Linked DNA regions of Oreochromis niloticus. The protein of the gene in region 1 binds, or shares a complex with, the protein of each later gene. Links are inferred from orthologs where the notes say so. Each region holds a gene or a part of one and is shown on either strand. Other genes may lie near its edges.

Evidence for each region.
Region 2: the proteins of pak4 (region 1) and itgb5 are in contact, whole or in part, in a crystal structure (PDB 7S46), measured with the Homo sapiens proteins. The link is inferred for Oreochromis niloticus from reciprocal best matches to the Homo sapiens genes PAK4 and ITGB5. Residues at the interface, in NP_001014831.1 of Homo sapiens: Gly330, Ser331, Gln358, Arg359, Leu362, Thr404, Lys442, Ser443, Asp444, Asp458, Phe461, Leu475, Val476, Gly477, Thr478, Pro479, Tyr480, Trp481, Met482, Glu507, Glu512, Phe516, Asn517, Glu518, Pro519, Pro520, Met524; in NP_002204.2 of Homo sapiens: Ser762, Arg763, Ala764, Arg765, Tyr766, Glu767, Met768, Ala769, Ser770.

The regions. Positions count from the first base shown.
Region 1 is NC_031979.2:34,929,365-34,937,940, reverse strand, and holds the start of pak4 (serine/threonine-protein kinase PAK 4), read right to left. Parts: upstream 4,488-8,576; 5' UTR 3,642-4,487; intron 1-3,641. UniProt on the Homo sapiens protein: Serine/threonine-protein kinase that plays a role in a variety of different signaling pathways including cytoskeleton regulation, cell adhesion turnover, cell migration, growth, proliferation or cell survival.
Region 2 is NC_031987.2:31,871,212-31,879,787, reverse strand, and holds the start of itgb5 (integrin beta-5), read left to right. Parts: upstream 1-3,481; 5' UTR 3,482-4,024; coding exon 4,025-4,103; intron 4,104-4,776; coding exon 4,777-4,862; intron 4,863-5,019; coding exon 5,020-5,227; intron 5,228-5,348; coding exon 5,349-5,598; intron 5,599-6,275; coding exon 6,276-6,444; intron 6,445-8,576.

The DNA of each region.
Region 1 (8,576 bases):
CCTGAACAGCAGCTGCGTTCGGGCCCTTCTGGTCAGTTCGCATCAAAGCAATGACAACATCCCTCCTGCCAGCAGCTCTGTCTCCTGCTGGACACATCTGTCAACAGTCATCTGTGATTTCTGATCATTTCCACCTTCATGGCTCGCCTCCTCTGCTGTGATTCACCTAAAAACTGGCCGAAAATCAAGAAAAACTCTTAAATCTGCTTGGAGTGAATCCTTCAAACTCAGTAGATTTTAGGTACTGCAGCTTTATAAATATGATCAAAGAAAATACAGAAACTGCAGAGGAATTTGAAAAAAGTAGCATATAGCAAGTGATCAGATATATTTTTGAATGCCTCTTCTTTACTGCTAAATACAGTTAGAAGCAAAAAATCTTTAGCCCCATTGTGTATTAGGTTTATTGGCATAAATTCAGTGTCCAGCAGGCTTATCACCAAAGCCCACACTGCACACTGAAATAGCTGCCAAATGGGCCTTTATTATGGAAGAAGTTTGTCTAGCTTTGTCTAGTAAATTCTGCATAAAACAGCACCTCAAAGTTCGTAACTATAAGTACACTTCTTTCTAACTGCCTTAGTCAAGTCCCGCCACAGCTTTTCCATATTAATGGTTCAGACAGCCACTATCTAGGACTTCCTCTGAAACCTAAAGCCAATATTCTGAGGTATGCTTGGGTCACTGTACTACTACTGAAAGGTCCATCAATGCTTGCGCATCAGCGTCCTCACTGACAGCAATACATTTTGGCGACCGTGGCTCAGGAGATTGGGAAGCTCATCTGTAACCGGAAGGTTGCCAGTTCGATCCCCCTGCTCTCTCTGTCCTGGTCGTTGTGTCCTTGGGCAAGACACTTTACCCTACCGCCTACTGGTGTTGGCCAGAGGGGCCGATGGCGCGATATGGCAGCCTCGCTTCTGTCAGTCTACCCCAGGGCAGCTGTGGCTACAACTGTAGCTTGCCTCCACCAGTGTGTGAATGTGAGAGTGAATGAATAGTGGAACTGTAAAGCGTTTTGGGTGCTTAGAAAAGCGCTATATAAATGCAATCCATTATCATTATTATTATTTTCTTCCAGGATTTCTGATACTTTATTTACTACATGTTGCCAGTTGTACTTTGTAGACTTTTGCATTACATGAGGAATCAAAGAAGTCTCTGACATCACTGAGCCACCATCATGCATTACTATAGGTCAGTTCATTCTTCCTTCTCCAGACACATTTCTGACCCATAGGCCAAAAGTTCTAGTTTTGTTTTGTCCCCCCCCCCCCCCCCAAAAGATCTGTGCCATCATTTCAATCATCATCAGTAATGAGTCACAGCACTTCGATAAATCATATGACCTTGGGAATAAATTCAGGAACAGGTTTCATTTCAGCCAGTGAAACTGCTAGTCAGTGACTGAAACTGGCAGGGCTCTCTTAGGTTTGGCCCTGTTACATAGTGCCAGCAGGCAAATGACAGGAAATGAAGGAAAGATGGATGCAGCAAAGGTTCCCAACAGACTTCTACCCGCAGACATTGTGGTTTATTGTTGTCTGAGCCAAAGGAAATTATTATGAAGTAGTAAAATTAAAGTTAAAAAGTGTTGTTAAATGTCTTTATCCTGCCAGGTAGCATAATAAGTTTCCTGCCAGCAAGCAGAATAAACACCAAGCAGCATCTTTTGGGACCAGTTTTGATTATTTATACTGGGATGAGGGCTTTTTGAGCAACCTCCAGGGTACCACAAAACCCCCTCTTTTACCCTACAGGGAGAGCCAACTGGAGCCTCCTTTCAGGAGGAGAATAAAGTATAATACTGATATCCTACTTTAAGGAAAAACAAACAAAAACCAAACAGCAGCATACACTTAATGCTCCTTTCCCAACAGACTCTCTATATGCCCCTTGTCTGCCACACAAAGTCGTTTATTTTTCCACTTGTTGATTGTCTGCTGCTTCTATGACCTGCGTGGATTTGGTTTATCTGGTCCAAATATGTCAGTGAGGATGACTGTTTAACCTGCCAGCCTGTTTTTCCTGTTTGATTACCTTGGTTGGCTCCTCGTTTTTCCACCACAGAGCAGACAATTCCAATGTTTCTACAACTACCAGCAGACAGAAGAAGATGCTTTTTATTAAAGCTGTTCTGGAAACCCGAAAAAGTAAACAGAACTTAAACATTTTCTGCTAGAAAAGCTAATTACTTTCTTTCACCTGTCCTTTTGGCTTAGGTTTGTATAATTTTAAATTATCAGGTACCTAACAAGGTATTTTAAAACCATGTTATCTTAACACTGTTAGATTCATATTCAGCACATATGCTGTGTTTTTTGTTCACAATGAACAATCACTCAAAGAAAACACACACATTTCCAATTTTTTTCCAGTAAACTTGCCATTTGTTTCTTTCAGATTCAGTTGAGGTTGTTGTAATTTAGCAGAACAAATGCCATCCATAAGTTGCATTTTCCCAAAGAGATATTAGTCAGTTAGCTACTATCTAACAAAAATATAACTTTTCAATATGGCTGTACTGATTGTGAAATTCTGAGCTGATACTGTCAAAAGAATTTGGCCTAAATCCTATCCTCATGTATCCATAGTTTATTTAAATGTACTTTTCTTGTTATCTGTTCCCACTTCTGTGCTATAAACACTAACATCTTTTTAAAAGACTTTCACCTTTTCATCACACTGCCTTTGAACTCTCCAGCAGATAAACTTAACTGTTTATCTTACTTACTAGTAGATGGATATCAGCTGTCTTGCAGCTGCATCCCATCTCGCAACTTAACACGTGAATATTGCTGATGAATATTTTGCCATACATGATGTAGATGTTCCCGCTGCTGTTTGGGAATGGTGCATATGTGAGAGAGACGAGTGACCCCTTCATACAGCTTCTCTGGAATCCCAGGAATGTATGGTGTGCCCAGCACCAACCGCACGACCTTACAAACACAAACCCCCCCCCCCTTCCTCTCACTGCACACTCACGAAGCACAACACAAATGCAATCCATAACATGACATCCGCCAGCCAAGAGGAAAAGAAGTGGGAGGGGAAAAAAGAAACTAAAAAGGAGAATTCATTCATGCACGAGAGAGAGAGGGAGCAGCTTAATATCCTCTTTTCCTGCTTTAGCCTGCCCACACAAACAATTCAGTCCTCCTTCACAGGTGAAAACGGAAGTTCACCGTGATCGTGATTATCAGGAACCAGCTGAACTTATCAGAAAGCAGACTGGCAGACTCAGCGTTACCAGAACTCGTTTGTCTCCTGGGTGTGCAAATGAGCCATCCTGTGAGCGTATGAGATCTTAGCAAAGGAAGACAGTCTGAACCTAAAGTTAGCTTCACATTTTTATTGTTTAACAACTTTCACAAGTGGCCCTCAGATTTTTGATTTCACAGTTCAGACACGATTCACTCTAGTCTACGCTTTGAGTGATTCATGAGCTAACACACAAACACAAGGAGAGCAGACTGAAGGAGGCTGCTCCGGTATCCTCACACCCGGACTGGCCGGACCGACCGGAGCGCAGCTAACGCTAGCCTCCGTTAGCGGCTCAGCGGGGAGCGGAGACGCGCCACAAGCTAACCCACAGCACGGTCCGGTAACCGAAGTCAGAGCCACGCGGGGATACTCACCAGGGATGTCCCAGGAAAACTTTTTCTGCCGACCCCGCGACGTACTTGGAAACTTTCCAAAAATCAGAAGGGCGGGAGCGGACTAACTTCAGGGCAAACTGTGTGATATTAGCCGAAGTCTTACTTTCCCGACGCCATGTTGAACAGAGGAAACTGGAACATCCGGGAAACTGAAACCAATCTCCATGGAAACCGAGTTAGCAACGGGCTACCGGGAGACGACTCTTCTTCGGCTTTTTTTTCTTCTTCTTTGTGGTTGGTAAACATTACCGCCCACCGGTAGACTAATACTGTACCTTCCTCCCAGCTGTTTCTTACATTTGTAGTGCACGTATTATTTATTAATGCAATTCACACTACTCTCTTTTACCATCTCAGTCTCACTTTTTACTTTACTTTAACTTAACCTAATTTTTTTATTCTTTCTTTTCTTTGTTTTTTAATCACAGTGGAAAATGTTTACATATAACAATCTCACAGGCCGTCACTATGCGCCTGTGGCACTTTAACTTTGTTCTTTATTTATTGTAGACTGCACTATTTTTATTCTTTATCCCGCTGTTGTAACACAATAAATTTCCCTTGTGGGATTATTATGTTCACATATGGCTTCTTCTTTGCATGACAAAGATTTGTCTGCACTCTCCATATAATCTTACATCCAGCTGCTTTAAAATCACCAGCTAACCTAACATGCATGTCTTTGGACTGTTTGAGGAAGCTGGAGTAACTGAAGAGATCCCACAAGGGCACAGGGAGAACATCTAAACTCCACACAGAAAGGTCTCAGCCAACCCGGGAATTTGAACCTTTCAATAAACCCCATTGCTAACTACTTCAGAATGCTTTCCATAACAGAACTATTTAGGTTTATATCTTGAGAGTTAATGTAAGTTTAAAACAAGAGAAACAAACCAAAAAATAAATTTTTTAGAAGAAATGTATTGATCTCATGGCAGTAGAGTGTTTTTTAATGTTACAGTGACTAAACACAGTGGTACAAAAAAGTCTGTTTTACAAATGTAGCCAATCGTCATATTTGCGGGACTGATGGATTCTCATACAGGGGCACCTCCAGAATTTTTTCATAGGGGGCCACTAAAAATACTGGGATGCCACACCAAAAACAGAATTTCCAGTTTTACCATGCTGTCATCAAATATATTTTTTTGGGGGGGGGGGGCTAGTTTTGTTTTGTTTTTTTAATCTACCATGTCGAAGCAATGCAGGCACACATACGTACATGCATTAATATGTAGAATATGCAGTAAATTCCTATAAAACAGAGACATTTCAATCAATAAGAGGGACAAACAACTTCACTATGAGCTCATATGGTAGGTTTTATCTTAACTTTAGTAAATAAAACTGCGGCAAGTAGGGTTGGTTAATGATTCACCAGGAGAGATGGGAACAGAAGTTGCTGATACAGGGCCAGGCTCCTATTGTGTGATGCAGAGGTGGTGATGGATAGGTGGGACTACAGCCTTGAGAACAGCTATTTGGATGCAATTCGACTTTCTGTGCCAGATAAAGTTGGAGCTCATGGATCATAGCGACGTCACTCCTCGGTATAAGTTCAGGGACAAGTCATCGCCTTGCTGCTGTTGCTCCTGTAGGAGATGAGGAAAGCAAGGAAGGTGGGCGAAGAGATAGGAATGAGGTAGCTGCACAGTGAGGAGTGCAGATATCTGACAGTCCGCAGGTGGTGGTGATCATCCAGAAGAAGCTCGGGGCAACAGAGGGAAAGTTCAGGGTTAGTTCGGAGGAGCTAAAGTAAATGCTAAACTTTCACAAAGAAAAACTGTTTTTCTCTGTGGAGGTTTAGCACCGCACTGCAGTGAGAACAGCCCAGACAAGCTTTGTCTGAACCAGAATATCCTCACCTTATCCCAGAATAACACATCTGCATACTCTGGGGATCTGTGAATTCACCATTTTCATCACAGCTGGTTCAGAGCTGCTCACGAGTTTGTTAAAGGGGACTGCAACAGTATGCTTACCATCCAGAAAAAAACACCCCAGTGATGCCAAGCAGCACCGCAGTGCAGTGAGAACGACCCAGAGAAGGTGTCTCTGTTTGGATGAAGAGGAATTAAAACTGTATAAACAACCATATTCATTAATCTGCCACTGAAAGCCCTGATTTTGCTATGTTGCCATCTGAAGACAGAGACTTTTAAAAAACAAATTAAGCTTTGGTTATCCTCGCATCTGTGATACAAAAAAAAGCTCTTTGTATTAATCAGTGTTTGGCAACAACAGGGGAGGAGATACTGAGGACAAATCTCATGTCTGGTAATGTGCAGTACAACACACTGACAAACATGTAAAATATATTTAATTTTGGTCAACATACACTCATCATAATATGTTCTGTGAAAAAAGTAACATTAAAGTTCCCATTGCTTGTATTTTTAGTCTTTGTGGGTCAGCAGCTCTGTGTTCATTGTTTCCTGGCTAATGAATCAATACACTGCACTGTAATTATTATTAATATTATTTTTCCCACAAAAATACTGTAAAAAATATCAGAAATGTACAATAATAATCAATTTTTTGTGGTATTTAAAAAAATAAAATCATCTTAATTAAAATACAGATGTTTTAAAGTTACATGAAAAAAATGTCTGTTTTTACAGATTTCTTTTTTCGAATAAAGATGTTTAAATCTGTATAAACAACAATATTACCTAATAATAAGTTCAAATACTCACCAAGTAATTAATCCAATTAGAACAGGAGAAAAGTACTGTTGAATTTTACTTCGTACGTTCTGCAATTTTGTATTTTTAGTCCATTCATAATGTGAAAAAATGATTTACTACACAAATAAACCAGTTTGTTAAACTAGTAACTGGGTTTACATTTTTTTTTTTAAATAATTAAAAAATTACAGATCTTTTCTAGCACATACTGACTGATCATATTTGATTCCACATAAAATCTTAAGTCTATTTAGTTGATATGATAAGAGTGAAATATTCCATGAACCATGTAAACTCCTGTTTACTGTGCTTTCAGCCTGAGCAACTGTTTTATTTTGTAAATCTAGATACTGCTCCATATTTGTGGGACAGCAGCAAGTTATTAGTTTCCTTGTATGTGATGATCTCATCAGTATTTCCTGTGCTGCTACAGATGAAACTACACAACAGGGTAAATTACATTATGATAGCTTGACCTCAACCAGCAACATCAGTGAAGCAGAACTCAATAAAAATGATTAAATAATGTATAATAATCCTGTGATAGACTGGCCAGCTGTCCAGAGTGTACTCCGCCTCTCACCCTGTGACAGGCTCCACCGTCACTCTGATCTGGATGAGAATTAATGAATGAATGAATGAATGGATGGATGGATGGAAGAACATATTTTTCTGCAGTATCACTTTCAACTTTAGCTATTTCTTTCAACTAAAGAAAAATGTAAATCCATAATGTAAGTAAATTTTTACTTAACATTGAGAATTAATTGCAACTTTTAAAAACATTTGTAATCTTGTTTAAAAACAAGCAAACGGCTCCATTACGTCATTAACCACATTTCCCTCATCACTGTAAAAGCCAGGATATTACCTCAGTGTCTTTGCAGTTTGATCTGCACAACACTGACCTCTAGTGATCAAATGCACACACTGCTCTGTCAAGCTTTGCTCTGTGGCGTCCTCGTCACGGTGAGAGGTTTTCAAAAAGGCCTGATGAGTGAGGAGACAGTTTTCTTTTTGTTCCTCACACACTGATGGAGTAATGTCATTGTTAGTTTCAGAAATGATAAAAATAATAATGAAATTTGTGAACTAAACTGTGAAGTTTTATTTTATTCTCAAAGATGTACGTTTCTGTGTATGTTTTATTATTGAACAGCAAATTTTCATATGACGCATTTACCAGATTTCTTCTGCCAATACTAAGTGCATACACCTCTTCTGTTCCAGGTTTCATTGTCTGGAGATGAAGCTATCACGTCCCCCCTTATTTTCTGTCATATATTTACTGTTACAGTAGTTGGTGCTCATATTAAATGTCCCTGAAACCTAAACACACGGAGCTGGAAATGAGCAGGAAAGGTCACCTTTGAGAGTTTCTCTCGGTGGAAACATCTTCCCATTTAGATAGTCTTGCTTACTGTATTAATATGTTGAGAAAAACCTACATTAATCTCTTAACCTGCTAACCTCTAATGACAATCAGCTGATTATAACTTTACTTGCAGCTTTAGGAGAAAGTTATATAACTAGAGGTTTCATTGAGCGAGAGTTTGATCATTTATTTCTGCAGTGGAAGCAAATTTGTTACATTTCAAATAGCAGCTTTTTTGTCCCATTGCAAATTTGGATCAATACTTTGCTTCTTTTCTGGTGGTTCTCCAGCTTATTTACAGGCTTTGTTTGTCCTGGGAGACGTGTGTGTTTGCTGAGCATGCTCCTCTTTTCCAGCTTTGCTTCTGCATGTATAGATAAATCTATATTTACTATTTTTTTATACAGAGAAATCACATTTGTCCTTTAAAATTCCTGCTTTTCCTCTCATTGTGGTTTCTGACTCTTAGGGAAAACATATAGTTAATCAGATCTCGGCTGTAAGTGTTTTATAAACTGAGAACAGATGGTTTTCTCATGTTTCACTGCATTAAAGAAGTGTGGAGTAAAGGCACCAACATCTGAGGGACTACAGGTTGGACTCTGTGACTAAAATGTGAAGCTGCTCAAACAGCTTTCCTAAATGAATCCACAGCTCAGCAGTTTGTCGAGCCGCCTCGCTGGTTTACATCCTCTTATGAGGTAATGAAAGCCCTGAATGGATGGTACAAAGCAGGACTTCATCATCCTTCCAGTGTTCACTGGGCATCTAATTACTTTAACAGGGGGTCAAACGTATTGGACAAAAATGAAATGTAAAACGTAGTCTGGCCTGCTTCATAGCACGTCACAA
Region 2 (8,576 bases), on another chromosome or scaffold:
ACATTAACAGTGCAGTGAATCCTGCTTGTGCCGTCATATTCAGGACTGCAAACCGAGCAGCATCACTGACTTTCAGCTTGTTGTGTTTGTGGATATATGACTGACTTTAATTATCCATAAAATCATCACATTCTCTGTAAGATTAAAGTCAACTATTGAACGGCATATATTTTGAAGTAAAGGCTTTAAAACCAAGTTAGTACAAACATCACTAATGTCACTTAACTTTGCTGACATGTGGCCAACAGTAATGTTTTAATGTTCTTCATTATAAAAACATTTGCGCATAAATAAGTGACATAATATTCAGTACTTACTTCTGAAAGTTTACTCTTTGGCGGCTCCGCTTCCGCCGTTTTTTTCGGCAAAATTATCCACACCACGGCCGCGCTATGAAATCTGGGATATGTTGGGCCATGAAGGCTACACCGACCCATCCTTAAAATTCAGGGAAATTAAGGACGCATTTGAGGGCCGCATTTCGAGCAGCCTTTGAATTGGGACAGCCTTCGTCGTTTCGCTGTGACATAATCGTCCTTAAAATGTCGCCTTTAAGGCTGCAGACCCTGAATTGGGATAGAGCCCAAATCCGGTCATTGGTACTTCCTGGCTTGTGTAGTTACTAGGTAACGAAAGCTCAACACTGCCCCTAGCGTCCTGGAGCACTTCCGTTGTGTTTTGGAATTTGCAAGTGTTTTGGAGTTTGCATGTGTTTTGGAGTTTGCAAGTGTTTTGGATTTTGCAAGTGTTTTGGATTTTGCAAGTGTTTTGGAGTTTGCATATGTTTTGGAGTTTGCAAGTGTTTTGGATTTTGCAAGTGTTTTGGAGTTTGCAAGTGTTTTGGATTTTGCAAGTGTTTTGGAGTTTGCAAGTGTTTTGGAGTTTGCAAGTGTTTTGGATTTTGCAAGTGTTTTGGATTTTGCAAGTGTTTTGGAGTTTGCATGTGTTTTGGAGTTTGCATGTGCTTTGGAGTTTGTACGTGCTTTGTCTCTAGGGGCCACCGTAAAAATGGACCGCGGGCCGGGCTTTGGACACCCCTGCATTAGTCCATGTACAAAGTAAAGTCCAATACAAGCGAGACTGTAGCTAAATAGACTTACCTGATCTCAGCTACATGTTAAAAAGAACGACTGCTACAATGTCCAGAACTGATGTGTAAAAAAAAAAAAAAGAAGACGGGTCGTGCATGCAGGGATTGAAAACACTGATGCTGAAATGAAGGCTGGCTAGTCAACAGTGAAAATGTATATATTCAAGTATAGGTGTGTCCTTATATCACTAAAGGTGGGTATTTTTGATACTCACGCACCAATTTGCCAGTTAAAACGTTTGTTTGTGAGGAGCAGCCAATTAGAAGAAAGCTGAGGAGCTGTGCCACCCTAAAATGATCCCTTGCCACCCCTAGTGCCACCCTAGTTTTGCATATGACATGTTGTTTATTAAAATAGGACAGCATTAATACTTGTAGCCTAGCTACAGTTAACACTGAATATAAATTCTAAAACTGAATATATTGCATAGTGTTTCCCACCTCCACCATTAACAAATGGTTCCGCCCATCGCGCTTTCTTATTCTTGTTTCCAGTAGCAACCGATGCCTATGATTGCATCAGAGCACATTTTGAATCAAAACCATGGGCATTTCACATTTCACACAGGCGGCTGGTTGTTACGCTCTGGAAATGGAAGGAAGGTGAATCCTCTGGGGTCCACGGACACGCTGCACCTCCAAATCACATGAGTGATTTAAGCTGACATAACAAGCTGCAGCCACGGTGAATCTCTATTTCAGCTTGTTGAAAGTTCGTACTTAAAAGTATACACCAGTTTTTAAATTTTAATGACAGACCACTAAATCCTTATCTGAGCTATGATTTTTTTCTAAATACTATCGTCATGGTAAAAAAAAAAAAAAGAAAAAGAAAAAGAAAAGCGTTTTTCTAATGACAGCACGAAAACAGTAAAGAAATAAAACATAGCCTCTTTCCTATTGGTGGAAAAATGTACCCTGTCGACCAAGAAAAAAAACCGGCAACACAGGGTTTGGTTGTTTAGGAAGAGAGGAAAGCTTTGGGAGTGACGGTAGTGAGACAGAGCTAGCCAGGGAGGGAGAGTGACAGAGCGCGAGTTTTGAGATGTGAGAGATTTTTGACGTTTAGCATATAGTTAGTGCATTGTGTTGTCTTGTGTAGTCTTTGTTTTTGTTTTGTATAGCAGTGAGGGCACTAATGAATGTCACAAAGGCAGATTTCAATGTAAACACTGTCTCCAGGTGGAAAACCAGAAGAGTGATACACCTGTTGTCAGGCCCGCAGGGTTTATCCCTGTGGTGGTCTCTTCTGTATTGTGTTTTTACTGGCACAAATAATTTGTGGGAAATCTTATTGTGACACCTGATTGTTCTCTTATTTTAGTTATAGAAGTATTTTTAAATTGTTGTATAAAATTAAAAAACAACAACAACAACAAAAAACCAACACCAGATGCGTTGGCTACATTTTTAGATAAATAGTTGCATGTAACTTTATTGTTTACAAAATTTATGCATAAGTTTTCAAAATATCCTATTTATATTTGCATTTTAAGTTATGAAATAAATTTACTAAATATGTCTATGGGTTTTACATTTAAAAAATACTACTAGGATTTCATGTTTTTGTGTGATTTCAGATCAGTTGTGTTAATACAGAATGTCAATGAGAAAATAACTGTAAATTCAGACACGTGAGGTTGTGCCGAAAAGAATGATACCAAGCAAGTTGAGGTAAAAAATCAAATAAAACAAAACAATTTAAAGGTGAAATACAAATGTAAAATCAAAAGTAGTCAAAAATGGCCAATTATATTTTGGACCTCAGAGTTCAAAATATAATCCCAACAAATCATGAAAAATTACAAAATTACATTTTTGTTCATGACAGGGTAAATTTGTGTGAATTTAAGCATGTAACAATCTGATTTTTTTCTAACAAAAAGGTGAAACTTAAGTTAGACCTGTGTTTGTAAATGAACTGCCCCATGTTGGGTTGCTTTCTGGATTTTATGCTTTTTAGGCTACATATTTATTTATTATACAGGCTATACAGTACATAAACTCAAAATTCACGTTTTATGCAACTGAATGTTTAACTATGTGGGCTACAGAAAGTAATTAAGTTATAGACTATATTTATATGAAACGTGTATACTTACTGCATTTGAATCATTTTAACCATATGTAACACCTGCCTACGTGGGTTTAAAAAAACAAGGCTGGGATTTTGTCACCTCATTTGATTTCCATGCCACCCTAAGAAGATTTCTCGAGATCCGCCCCTGGGCTGCATCTCGGTATAACAGGAGAGCATTATGACAAGAGCAGTGTTTCCTAGTCGATGCCTCCCATCTGGTGCTTTCTGTGCATTCACCGCTAGATGTCTCCACGTGGTCGACATACCGTGGTGCCGACAACTCCAAAAGGCAGTGAACGGGTTAAAGTAATCCCTGGCGGGGAGTGGGCGGAGATTCCAGCTGGAAGCAAACCGAGAAAGCAACGCTCAAATCTAGAAAGGAAAATCACAGTTGAGCGTAGGTTTGTTCATCTAATTTGGGACGGGATTATTTCCTCTTTTAGTGATCTTTGGGTGGATTTGAAAGGAGAGGTGGCATGAAGTCCACGCTGAAGTGTGAGAGCAGTTGTCAGCTGATGGTAGAGTAGACGTGGAAGGCTACAGAGGCGTCAGACACCGAAGCCTGAGTTAGGAGAGCAGATCAACAGGACGGTGCAGAGCGCTGACTCTCACACTTGAAGACAATGGAACTGCTGTCCCTCACCTCACACGGATCCTTCACTGTGATGAGCCCTAAACCCGCGTGTCCGTGGATGTGAAATGGTCTAAACACGCCACACTGTTTTGATTTGCACGGATCAGCTGGACTTATTCTGGTGAGCGCGCTGATGGGAGAGTAACACAGCGCCATCGGTTCCTGAAGAGATACGAAACCGGTGTTTCCCGAAACCTCTAAAAACACCAACAGGGATACCATGTGGAATCTCGGGACGTGGATGTGGCAGGCGGCTCTATGCTGCATGCTTCTGCAAACAGTGCTGCCCAGTGCCAGAGGTAGGACGCAGGACTGTCTTCTTCTCAACACAAATCACTGCCTGTTTTTGCAGCGGCCGGTGGGCTGAGTTTGGATCACACACGCGGAGCTGGAGCTCCTCGAAAAAACACTGCGAAGCCCCTGACAGTGTTAAACGAAAGGACTACATGGCCTAGGATAGATAAGGATTATTTTTAACTGTGAATCATGCAAAGCTACTGTGGAAATAAAATTGGAGCAAGACAAGATTTTTTGTTATTTTTTCCCCATTCAGTGCCAAGAAAATCAGCCTTATGTCACGCTTACCTTTGAATGGCCACACAGTCAGTCAGACAAATGTTTGAAACTATTGATAAATTTCATTAAGAGCTCACCAAGGCCATGATCACTCCAGCTGATGTTCAGCTGCTAAATCAGTGCCTCCATGATTTCATATGAACAAGCAGCATATTAAGAATATTGGCTGAGATTTTCATATCAGATTTTTTTACATCCCCAAAAATCAATGTTTGCATCAGATGGAAACGAGCATGACAGGTCCTGTTTAACCTTGGATTCAATATGGGCTTTATTATTATTAATTTTTTTAACCTTAGGGTCTGTTTCCTTGGTCATTAATTTGAAATAGAAGTACAACCGTGATAGGGATGAAAGTGGAAATCTAGCCTCAGCTCTGTTCCCGTCCCCCCTCAGGTCTCAACATGTGCATGAGTGGCAGTGCTACTTCCTGTGAAGAATGCCTCCTGATTCACCCCAGTTGCGCCTGGTGCGCACAAGAGGTATGGCTTAGTTGATCGATTATTTTCATCATGTACATTTACTTGTACAGGTCCATGAAGTGGGGGATGCATTCACCACTTTTCACTTTTTTGGGGGACCTTTTGGAAGCAGTACGAGTAATCAGGAATCTGAGATTTGTTGCTTTCCATCTTGCAGGATTTTGGAAGGGGGCGCAGTCTGACATCACGGTGTGACTTTAGTCAAAACCTGTTGAAGAGAGGCTGTGACGAACACTTCATTGAATACCTAACCAGCAGCATCAACGTCCTGCAGAACATACCCCTGAGTTCAAAAGGGTCTGGGTCGACCCAGTATGATGTGGTCCAGATTATGCCACAGAAGATCTCTCTCAGCCTGCGTCCCGGTAAGAATCATAAACATTTCATATTTAGGATACGGAATAACCTTGGAACATGCAAAAAAAAAAAAAAGCATTAAAAGCATCTCTTATAAATAATGCAAAGCTCACTGATTTGTTCATGCAGGAGACCAGACGTGGTTCAGCCTGCAGGTGCGGCAGGTGGAGGACTACCCGGTGGATCTCTACTACCTGATGGACCTCTCTCTTTCAATGAAAGATGATCTGGACACCATTCGCAACCTGGGCACTAAGCTAGCCCACGAGATGGGCAAGCTCACCAGCAATTTCAGGCTAGGCTTCGGCTCATTTGTGGACAAAAACATGTCCCCGTTCTCCTACATGGCACCAAAGTACCAGGAGAACCCATGCAACGGGTAGGTGGTGGCAAAAGGAATCGAGCTCGATAGCTATAGGTGAAAGTGATTTACTCTGTGGCCACACTCTGTTTTTGCACCTTTCTGAATTGTGTACTCTGCATCTGTGAGAATGAGAGTTTTGGGGTTTTTTTCTTAATATTTATAAGGCAGAGTGAATAATGTAGTTCTTAAAAATGGCCCTAGTACTCCCACGGTCCCCTGGGGCTGGTGATGCAGGGAAACTGAAAGGGAGCAGAAGTGAAAGAGTAGAGAAAGCTGTGGCACACGATGTTTGCCCTGAAGGTGCGGCTAACTCTGTGCGCATCACTTCCCATTTAGGTTATGGCCTGGGCTGTGTGTGTGTGCCATGTTTAGATATTTTTGTGAGTGTGTGTTTGTGCATCAGTCACAAACAATAAGGCACTTTAGGGAAAAACTAAAGCGATTGCTGCTAAAAGATCTCCCTTCTTTCATATTTCATTTCTATCCCATTCACTACATTAGAAAGAGTCTACAAGTACTGTATATGAAGTGAATCATAAGATACGCCATATTTAACATTTTAGCTTCTTTTCAACACAAACGAACCGTCAGAGCCAGGATTTATGCCTTTAAAGACACTTATTGTGTTTTTTAATTTCCAAAAATGTAAATAAAACATTTTCTTAACATGCAGTGTCTGTCACCCTGCACAGGTACAAGCTGTTTCCCAACTGTGTCCCCAGCTTTGGTTTCCGCCACATCCTCTCGCTGACTGACAAAGTGGACCGTTTTAACGAGGAGGTGCAGAAGCAGATGGTATCCCGCAATAGAGACGCACCGGAGGGCGGCTTTGACGCCATCCTTCAGGCTGCTGTTTGTAAGGTGATGATCTTTTTTCTAGTAGATGTTTCCATTCGCCTGCCCCTTCTGTTCATTTACAACTTCATACTTTTATTATTAGACTTGCTTACACATAAGCTTTCCTTTACATGCAGTTAAATGTTTTGCTTGTATTCATTTGGTTTATAGTGTAAACTGTATGCAATAACCTGAAGGAAGAGAGGATTATCATTATTATTATTATTATTATTATTATTAAGCAGTATTAGGAGATTTATCCAGGACTTCATAATTTCTTTTGTACATGTGCTCAGAGGCTGTTCTATGTTTGAAGAATATGAAGTTATTGATGAACCCCACATTTGTGTGAACTGTTTATGCAAAGATTGCATGTGTACTGTTTGTGAATGAGGCCCTTTTTTTAGTGGCAAAATCCAACCATGTCTTTGTTCTGTGTGAAGCTGATGTACCTGGAGAGAGCCCACACAGGCATGGGGAGAACATGCAGCCTCCGCACAGAGAAGTCTCTGAGCTGGCTGGGAGTCGGTCCTGATGTTAGTGATATCAGTGATTAGTGGACTCGGTTTCTGTTTTACTGTAGCTAGTCTTGCAATTGTTGACTTTGGCATTGAAAGAACTCAGAAACCAGTCTTACTTGTTATCATCTATCGTCCACCTGGGCCTTACACAGAGTTTCTCTCTGATTTCTCAGACTTTTTATCTGATTTAGTGCTCAGCTCAGATAAAATAATTATTGTGGGTGATTTTAACATCCATGTAGATGCTAAAAATGACAGCCTCAACATCGCATTTAATCTGTTACTAGACTCAATTGGCTTCTCTCAAAATGTAAAAGAACCCACCCACCACTTTAATCACACTCTAGATCTTGTTTTAACGTATGGCATAGAAACTGAATATTTAACAGTGTTTCCTGAAAACCCTCTGCTGTCTGATCATTTCCTGATAACATTTACATTTACAATAATTGATTACACAGCAGTGGAGAGTAGACTTTATCAAAGTAGATGTCTTTCTGAAAGTGCTGTAACTAAGTTTAAGAATATAATCCACCCACTGTTATCATCTTCAATGCCCTGTACCAACATAGAGCAGAGCAGCTATCTGAACGCTACTCCAACAGAGGTCGATTATCTTGTTAATAATTTTACCTCCTCACTACGTACGACTCTGGATACTGTAGCTCCTGTGAAAACTAAGGCCTCAAATCCAAAGTCCCTGACTCCGTGGTATAATTCTCAAACACGTAGCCTAAAGCAGATAACTCGTAAGCTGGAGAGGAAATGGCGTGTCACAAATTTAGAGGATCATCATTTAGCCTGGAGAAATAGTTTGCTGCTTTATAAGAAAGCCCTCCGCAAAGCCAGAACATCTTACTATTCGTCACTGATTGAAGAAAATAAGAACAACCCCAGGTTTCTCTTCAGCACTGTAGCCAGGCTGACAAAAAGTCAGAGCTCTACTGAGCCAACCATCCCTTTAACGTTAACTAGTAATGACTTCATGAACTTCTTCACAAATAAAATTTTTATCATTAGAGAAAAAATTACCAATAATCATCCCACAGATGTAATATTATCTACAGCTACTCTTAGTACCATCGATGTTAAGTTAGACTCTTTTTCTCCAATTGATCTTTCTGAGTTAACTTCAATAATTAATTCCTCCAAACCATCAACGTGTCTTTTAGACCCCATTCCTACAAAACTGCTCAAAGAAGTCCTGCCATTAATTAATTCTTCGATCTTAAATATGATCAACCTATCTCTAATAATCGGCTATGTACCACAGGCCTTCAAGCTGGCTGTAGTTAAACCTTTACTTAAAAAGCCATCTCTAGACCCAGCTGTCTTAGCTAATTATAGGCCAATCTCCAACCTTCCTTTCATATCAAAAATCCTTGAAAGAGTAGTTGTCAAACAGCTAACAGATCATCTGCAGAGGAATGGCTTATTTGAAGAGTTTCAGTCAGGTTTCAGAGCTCATCACAGCACAGAAACAGCTTTAGTGAAGGTTACAAATGATCTTCTTATGGCCTCTGACAGTGGACTCATCTCTGTGCTTGTCCTGCTAGACCTCAGTGCTGCGTTCGATACTGTTGACCATAATATCCTATTAGAGCGATTAGAACATGCTGTAGGTATTACAGGTAC